2 linked regions of the Daphnia pulex genome follow. The protein of the gene in region 1 purifies or fractionates together with the protein of each later gene. This does not show direct contact. Links are inferred from orthologs where the notes say so. Each region holds a gene or a part of one and is shown on either strand. Other genes may lie near its edges.

Region 1 (5,766 bases):
GAGCGGGATTGATTGGCTCAGCGGCGTATATATAAGGAGCAGTAGGGAGGGGGAGGGGGAAGGATCTTCGATCGGTTCCCGAATCTCTCGGGTGAGGAAGAACGACAAAGGGATGGAGGGAAGAGAAGCTTGTTCACCCAAGAAAGGGGGAGAGAAAGGCAAAGAAAAACAAACTAAAGAAGAAGGAAGGAAACGGGAGAAAATGGAAAATCTATGCTGCTGCTACTGCTGCTGGTTGAAGAAGAAGAGGAAGCAGAAGAGAGTGGTACCGACTTTGATAAGGCTCAACAAAAGCTTGTTTTGCGCTTTCCCCCCCTCTTCTTTTGATATGTGCGACAGTCGAGCACCAGAGTCTGTTTATTCATCATCAAACCGACGACGAGTGAGTGCGTGAAAATGAGAAGGAAACGACCATCAAGATTACGCCAGTGCCTTTTGTTGATTCGCCCTATTCAAACTTTGGTCTATATGTTTTTTTTTTTTTGCGGATTCAAACCCTCCACACACGGGATACATGTAGCCCTTTCATGGCGAAACAGATTTTTGATTATTATTTATATATGCTTCCTCCAAGTGTTAACATCGCCATCAATCCATCAGTATCACGTATACACACATAATAGTCTTTGGGGTCTATCTGGATTTAGGCTTTCTGATCCGCCCGAAAATTTATCGTGGCATCAGTAATGACGTTCATGCCAATGAGCTCTTGTTCTACTTTGAAGTATTATCGACCCAGTGCCGATTTTCTAGCCAAATGTTTGTTTATTTTTTAAACAAATGTGCTCGATTATTAGCCGTTTCTTTATTAAAATGAAATGTCAAATGCCAGCTATGATCCGATTGAACTGGAATAATATACCAACTCGGGAGGGATTTCGTCAGAGCTCCAGGCCTCGGGATCACTGACCCACGTGAAAGTTGCGCTCTACTTTATTTGAATTTTTTTCTCAAATAGAGTCTAATGTGCTTTCAGACTACGTCAATCAAATTTTTTTTTTTTTTTTTTTAGATTTGGTAGACACTGGCGGGCGCTGGCGGTTATCTGGCTTAAATCGCTGGTTATTAATTAGCAAGCATATACTCTTGTACATTTGCATAATCACAATATCTTCAAGTGTATGTGCGTAATTATATCTTTTCTCTTTTTATTCGGGGATCCTATTAAGTCAGCTTGGAAACTTTAAATCTTCCTCCTGTCAATTCCTTCTTGTCAGACCAGTCTTGTTTTCTCCATTTAGATTTACGCCATAAACAAAAAAAAGGATCTCGCGCGGCTTTCTCCCATTTCACTGCTGGCATATACCAGCCATAAAAAGCCTTTTCTTTATATTTATTCTATTTGAAAAACTTTGATAAAAATAAAGTTATGCATCATTTTCAAAGAGCTTTAAATTACCCAACTTATTACGCATTTGCCAAGTTAAAGTTCATCATTTAAATGAATTCACAGAAAGTAGAAACGTTTTAGAAATGATGTGCGGATCTAATGGCGGCGAAATGAGGTATTAATGTATCAACACGAACCCACAATACGTCCTACTCTTTAACAAGACCATTTATCACGCTTTCTTCTTCTTTGTACGTACTGCGCACTGACGCTAACTAGGTTAAGCAACTCGGTATTCACGGCTGTTTTTACGGATGAGAGGGACGCTCGGGTTGCTTGACCGCATTAAGTAAAGTGCGCTGGTATAACAGGCTACCGCACAACCGAGTGTAAACGACACTTTGATGAGGAAATTACTTGTCAACGCGCAAAACCCACCTCTGCAGCTGTTGTCGATTGTTCGGTGAACATAAAGGTCTATAAAAAAACGACAGAGAAACACGTTGAGATATGTGAATGAAGCGAAACAGGAGGACGGATGCCTTCTGTCTAAAACGTACATTTCAAGTGGCTTTCGTGAATCGTATAGCGTGATGGAATTCGCCAGGAAATATTTAATAATCAAACAGTTGTTGTTCCATAAGTTGATAAAACTCGTCTTCTCAGTTATTGCGGGCTCTGACGCACAAAGGGGAGATTGATATGATTGGTTAAAACATGTGAAACTATTTCGTCTCTATTGCGTTCTGTTTGTTTTGCTATCGATCTGCAGGGCAACTGCATATAATATGGCAAGTTCGCCACAAAGAAAACCGCTTACTTAGACGTGTTCATATTGCTTTTATTGTAAAAAGAAAAGCTCTCAAAAACAAATAGAAGACATCTTCGTTATTTATTACATTTTTTTTTTCAGATTTCCATAATATTACTTTCACGTGCACGACTTTCTTCATGAGCATTGCAACATGTTTTTGCTTGACATCTTTTTCGAAAATCCGAGAACCCATCAGGATTCATTATAATTTTCTAGTAAGTATCGTAATAATAAGATAGAAACCCGAAGAAAATTTCTCTTTAAGCGCGTGAATTTACACAAACACATTTTATGGAGCAAGCTAACAATTATGAAAGCCGTGTAGGCCTTACTTAATAGGGAATATAATAGCCCTTTCACTTTCCCAGTGGTCAATGCACCTGGGATAAAGACGATTTTTCTTGAAGTAATAATGCCGTAGTATTGAAGTAATAAAAACGAAATGTGCCATAAAGAAATTGCTTGTTAAATCCAGTAAAATAAAAATCCTAAAAAGAATAGTAATTTGAATAATGGCAACCAGCATATCATTATCGATTGAAATAATCGATAAATAGGCGTCGTCTGCTACGTAGGGGTTGTCAAGAAAAACATCATGGCCTCAGTAGCAGTTTCTAAAGATTCTCTTGAATCGGTAAGAAAATGATTTGACTTAAGAATTTATAGCTTAACGTGTTGCCAATTTCTAGTAGTTAAAGTAACTGAAATTATTTTAGGACTCTGACATTCACATTACATTGGAAGACCAACAGAAAATCAACCGGTTTGCACGACACAATGCAAAATGGGAGGAGCTCAGGGATGATCTGAAAAATAAAAAGGTGAAATTCTTTCTATTGCATGCTTCTTTTCGTAATGTGTGTGAAGTCTTCAAAATTATTATGTGTCATAAATGTGCTGGCAGAAATATTTTCGCATTCTGCTCATGATTCACGTTGAAACTTACAATTCTGCATTGCTACTCGTTTTCTCTATGCTTTGTTCAGGGAGATCTTCAAAACTTGGAGGATGCTTCAGATGATTTACTCTTGGTTGATGATGAATCAGCTCCAATTCCTTTCGTTGTAGGTGAAGTGTTTGTTCATTTCAACATGGAAGAGGCAAAGGTGATTTTCTTTTTTCCTCTTCTGTCAATTGTGCATCGCTGTTAAAGTACTGCTTATCGCTAATTGTTTGACTTATCACAGGAGAAACTTGAAGAAGCAAAAGACAAAGTGAAAAAAGATATTGAAGCCATCGAAGCTGAATGCACAAACATCAAGACTTTGATGAGCGATCTGAAGACGCAATTGTACGCCAAATTCGGTAATTCTATCAACCTAGAAGCCGAAGAGGAATAAAGAAAACGTCCAAAATGCTTTCTCCACTATAATAATGAAGAACAATACAAAAAAGAAAAAAACAGTCTTTGATAGCACTGACAGAAACAAATTGTCTCTCAAGCCACAAAGAGAAAAGTAAACAACAAAGCTAAAGAAAGTATTTTTAGCTAGTTTCCCTAACACTAAAAATATCTGCGAAGAAAATGTAACGCTTGACTTGCACCTCCGCAACGACGCCTCTGCATCTGGCTACCACTCGGTACCTCTTTAGTTTCGTAGAGGCCATTCACCGGACGGTTTTCCAGCCTTTCTCTCTCAGTCTCGAGCTCCACGACCTCGTAAAATAATCGATTGTTATTGCTTATGTATTCGTCCGTGTTAACCTCATTTGGACACGACCTGCAGAGAGGACTATCGTTGATACTACCCAATAGGTTCAGAAGAATACCAATCGGAAATTGTCACTTGACTGACCCAGTGACTTAGTTTTCTCGGCTGTCCATCACATGGCCGGTTTTTCATCATCCGGATCGTGCACGTTCATAAAGTCCTCCCTTCCCGTTATTGTGCTCATTACATCCGTTCGACGGTGGGTTTGCGAAGCTTGTCACGTCATGACCGTGCCGCCGCTCACTTTTCCCCTGGTCGAGAGGAAAACCCGCATCGTCCCCCCTCCGGCTGCAGATGGTAGACACGAAGTTTTTAAGCAAACAAACAAAAGAAACGAATGAATCTACAGGACAGGACGGAATATTCCTCTGCTTCTAAAAGCAATTGAAGAAAAAAGAATGAGAAGGAAAAACTTGTAACTAGGCCAAGGTTCGTTGGTACACGTTTTTGTTATAAGCTATTTTCAACTTGGGAATCATGAGAAACTTTTAGGGTACCTTCACGTTATTTCAAAAAGAGGGGGGGGGAACGACGATGCGTATGGCACTTTTGCGTTCACTTTCTTTCTTCTAGAGTTAAAAAAAAGAAGAGCCCCCAGATGCCTTTATTGCTTTGTTTTCCGAGCTGCGATGTACACAACAGACAGGAAAAGGTGTGGATACTCTACACCATATCTCTCATCTTTCTGTCATCATCTCCAAGGGTAAGTGAAGTGTTTTTAATTTCAGAGAAATAGCACACCACTTGGCCGATTTATATTTCCATCACACAATCGAGGCTGCTGGGTATTTTTCCAAGAGGGAGTATGATTGGTGTTGTGTAAGTTTCTTGTGTGTCAAAGGACTTGAAAAAAAGAAATAACAAGGTGGCAACGCTTGACACCGATACGTGCTGGCCATGACTTGCCTCCTACATGTACGACGTCCGAGCGGTTGTTGGCTTCAAACAAAAACAAGGACACGTGTTGCCAGTAAAACGAAACTTGTATTTTTGGTTGTTTGTATTTTCTTTTTTTATTTAATAAATTTTTGTTTACAGTTTTATTGTAGAAGGAAAACCCGACAAATAATTGGCAAAGTATCGAATTTGGGGAAATATTCAACGGAATCACCGCATGTTGGAAAAGGTTCGAATGGTACACTGGTCGCGGATCATCAGGTGGTTCGATGAACTCGAGCGAAAAAAACAAAAAGACATCGAGTTGTGTTGCGGAAGAAATGGGAAACGATCGAGGAAAAACGAGCGCATGGCAAAATTGAATACCAGTTCACCTCGGCTATATTTTTTGGAGCGGAATAAAACACCCGTAGTGGCGGGACGTTTTTTTTTTTATCTTTTTGGGGTGGACCAACAAATTGAGAAACTGGACAGTATCCGGCGAAGATGGGTTTTCCATTTTTGAATTTCTACATTCTCACCGCGTATTGGCACTTCTTACACGAGCTACTTCTTTCTCTATTCCACTTTTTAAATTTAATTTTCTTTCCTCTTCTTTTTTTTTTCACCCGGCTCATTTTTAGGGGAAAAGTTAATACTACTCTAGCTCCGCCCCCCTTTCGCCTCCTCCCTTCTCGTCTGAGGCAACCTATTTAAGCTCGGCTGGTTGTTGGCTGCCACTTCACAAACTTCCAGGCAACTGGAGTTTCAAGCCGCTCTTCATTCTTTCTCCCATTTTTCTCTTTTTTCGTTAACAAAGAAACAATTGAACATTTCACAAATGATCGTCTCTACGATCTCCGAGAAGGTGGATAAGTCGGACGTTGAATCCATCTCGTCCGAAACTATCAAAGATGAGTCCGGTTTGAGTTTGTCACGAGCCTATTCCGTCACTTCGGAGCCACCCGTGAGTATTCCACTTCATTATATACCTCGTAACGAATCATTTCTAATTTTATTTTCAAACAGGCGTA
Region 2 (3,162 bases), on another chromosome or scaffold:
ACGAACTGGATGACCAGCTGTACCGATACGCCATGCTGGGCGAACAAGAAGAAATGATTGAAGCTGCACGTTATTTTGAAGGTTCATCGGCTAACAGCGATCGCCAACCGAGATTCGATCGAGCAGTCATGCTGTACAGTAAAGCTGGACTTCTTGATACTGCCCTCGATTTGGCTTCTAGGTAATATCTTGCATGAAATGTATAACAAGTGAATGTTTGGCTTATTTTTCTTGCGCCCTTCAAAGAACGGAACAGCATGAAGCTGTATTAGAATTAGCTCGACGTTTGGACAAAAACTCGAATCCTGCATCACTGCAACGTTGTGCTGATTATTTAGCAAGTCATCGCCATTATGATGCAGCTGTAGATTTGCTTGCCATGGCAGGAAAGGTAAGATTAGAATCTCGATATTTTCTACGTCTGAATCTAAGTCTGAAAGGGAATTTATTTTACAGAATTCCGATGCAGTTGACATGTGTTTGAAATACAATGTCACGTTGACAGAAGCGTTGGCCGATCAACTCGTAAATGGGGAAAATAACAGCCGATTGCTGACTCAACTGGCTGAAGTTGCTCAACGCCAGGGTGACTACCAGTTAGCGGCAAAGAAGTTTACTCAAGCAGGAGATAAAGTAATTGATCTTTGGTTTTTATTTTTTTGTTTGATTTCTTTAACTAATGGGAAATTTGTATCTAGTATCAAGCGATGAAAGCTCTCTTAAAATCAGGCGATACAGATCGAATTGTCTTCTTCGCAAACGTGTCTAGGCAGCCTGATATTTATATACTTGCTGGAAACTATTTACAAACCCTCGACTGGCGCTCCCACCCGGAATACGTCAAACACATTGTGACCTTCTACACGAAAGCTAGATCGCCCGATCTCCTTGTCGGCTTTTATGAAGCCTGTGCACAGGTTTGTAAATTAATTATTGGTTATTAACTTATTATTTATCTAAAAACTAAATAGATACGGCAATGTGTTCTTATTATTAGGCCGAGGTTGATGAATACCAAAGCTACGACAACGCAATGAACGCATTGAAAGAAGCGCACAAAATTATGTCCAAAACTCCTGAAAGTAGTCAATCAACAAGATCTAAAGCACTTTATATGAAAATGGCTTTTCTGGAGCAGTTCATTAACATCAGAAAAATGTCTGCCACAAACCTACAAGGAATTTCTCAGTTTGAAAGTATCTTACAATCATCTAGCATGGATTTAGGCATTTTGAAACCAGGAAATGTTTACTCTGCTATTTTCCAACTTTATGTTGATCACCAAATGCACAATGAAGCCCTCCAAACTTTGAATGGGATGAAAGCAACTGTTCCAAAGTTCATGAATTATTTGGATCCTGACATGGTGTCTCAATTATGCCTAATTCAAAATGTGTCATCAACATTATATCTCGAACAAGGTAACCAAAATGGAGAGGAAAACTCAGAGGATATAAGAGAAATTATTAATCACAGAAAATAATTTATTGATGATATTCAGACTTCACTTAGAAAGTGCTTGCATTATAATCTCAGCTTCTTTAGATATTGGTTTTAAATCAAACCCTTTCAGTTCTGGTTTCCCTTCAAGATCTCTCAAATGTTTCACTTGTTCTTTAAGCTTGTTGCGATGTTCAGATATCTCTTGATCAACCTCTTTTAACTCTGCAGGAGAAAGGCGACAATTTGAATTAATTTTGTTGAAATTTAAATGCTAATTTTAAATACCTCGTTCCAACAAGTTTTGCGCCTTGGACGTCCTTATTTTTACGAATATGTTTCCAATCGACACCCATGCCTTTTCACTAGGTTCCAAGCCATTTTTCAAAGCCCGAAAAGCTTCCCGTGTTTTTTGGCGCTTGAAATCCAATGCTACTATCTCGTCTCTGGTGATAAAAATCTCTTGGGCAGCAGCTTCAGTTTGAAGTATCAACTGTTGTGTCTTTTCGAAATCCATGGCACAATCTTTTTGTTTAGTTTGAAAGTTTGAAGAGATTGTTCTTGTTTGCTGTTGTATCGTCTGCTATTCATTTGCCCCATTGCCAAAATTGACGAACAAAATCAAAAGAACCAAATTTTGTATTGTTTCTCTGTCTTCAGTAATTTTGTTACCTTTTATTTTATTGTAACTGTTCTGCATGATATCTTGAATATTAGAGTTTGATTCAAAACTGATAATCATTAATCAATCAAGCGCAATTTCAGTGTTTAACGTGTTAACACTGTCTGTCGACTGCTCTGTGAGAAAGAGCTATCGGCAAGTGGCTCAAAAACAACAAAACAGATGAATACTCTAGTTCGTCTTCTACCTGAATCGTGTTTGCAAGCGTTAACTGCGGCATATTTTCGCTGTACGTCTACAGTTTTTATTTGAACATTATTTTGTCAACAAATTGAACATTTTCTTAAAAATTATTCTTTGTAGTTTCTGCTTGGAGAGCCCTTGGTTCAAGAAGTCACAGCCAGCTCAAAACTTGTATTGACTCAAAGATGAAAGTCCATATCATTCCAGCTTTGCAAGATAACTACATGTATTTGGTATGCAAACTTTTTGGATTCGGCTTATCACATGTAAAATACATTTCATACTTAAACTATAGTTGGTGGATGAGAGCTCAAATGAAGCTGCAATTGTAGACCCAGTAAACCCTAGCAAAGTGGTTGAAATTGTAAATCAGGAAAATGTGAAATTGACCACTGTTCTTACTACTCATCATCATTGGTTTGTTTTATCATTAGTATAGTAAATTTTTAATTTAAATGTTTGGGATTTTGTTTTTAATGACAGGGATCATGCAGGTGGCAATGAAGAATTAGTAAAACTTGTTCCTGGGCTTGCAGTATATGGTGGAGATAACCGTATTGGAGCGTTGAATAAGAAGGTTTCTCATGGAGATAAACTTCAGGTTGGAAACCTAGAAATTCAATGTCTATTTACACCATGCCACACTTCTGGGCATATTTGTTATTATTTGCCCTCAAGCAGTGTCAATGGACAATCAGCAGTATTCACTGGTGAGTAAAACTTTGAAAATATTCTAGTGGTTAAATGAGTAAATATTTTCAATATTGTTTCTTCAATATTAGGTGATACTCTCTTTCAAGGAGGATGTGGTAGGTTTTTCGAAGGAACGGCTGATCAAATGTATCATGCATTGATCA

Evidence for each region. Proteins that work in one complex are often made in the same cells at the same time.
Region 2: the proteins of prefoldin subunit 4-like (region 1) and p53 and DNA damage-regulated protein 1-like purify together in Homo sapiens (co-immunoprecipitation; 3 studies listed by BioGRID and IntAct, counting the BioPlex papers as one, with this or other methods). This does not show direct contact. The link is inferred for Daphnia pulex from reciprocal best matches to the Homo sapiens genes PFDN4 and PDRG1.

The regions. Positions count from the first base shown.
Region 1 is NC_060022.1:3,650,579-3,656,344, forward strand, and holds prefoldin subunit 4-like, read left to right. Parts: upstream 1-2,625; 5' UTR 2,626-2,739; coding exon 2,740-2,778; intron 2,779-2,860; coding exon 2,861-2,965; intron 2,966-3,130; coding exon 3,131-3,280; intron 3,281-3,331; coding exon 3,332-3,484; downstream 3,485-5,766. Other genes in the region: bromodomain-containing protein 4-like, read left to right, coding at 5,574-5,699, 5,762-5,766. UniProt on the Homo sapiens protein: Binds specifically to cytosolic chaperonin (c-CPN) and transfers target proteins to it. Binds to nascent polypeptide chain and promotes folding in an environment in which there are many competing pathways for nonnative proteins.
Region 2 is NC_060023.1:8,880,396-8,883,557, reverse strand, and holds p53 and DNA damage-regulated protein 1-like, read right to left. Parts: upstream 1,958-3,162; coding exon 1,729-1,957; exon of another isoform or gene 1,666-1,728; coding exon 1,505-1,665; 3' UTR 1,484-1,504; downstream 1-1,483. Other genes in the region: intraflagellar transport protein 140 homolog, read left to right, coding at 1-181, 247-391, 457-633, 699-917, 998-1,483; hydroxyacylglutathione hydrolase, mitochondrial-like, read left to right, coding at 2,285-2,351, 2,426-2,538, 2,601-2,722, 2,789-3,015, 3,088-3,162. UniProt on the Homo sapiens protein: May play a role in chaperone-mediated protein folding.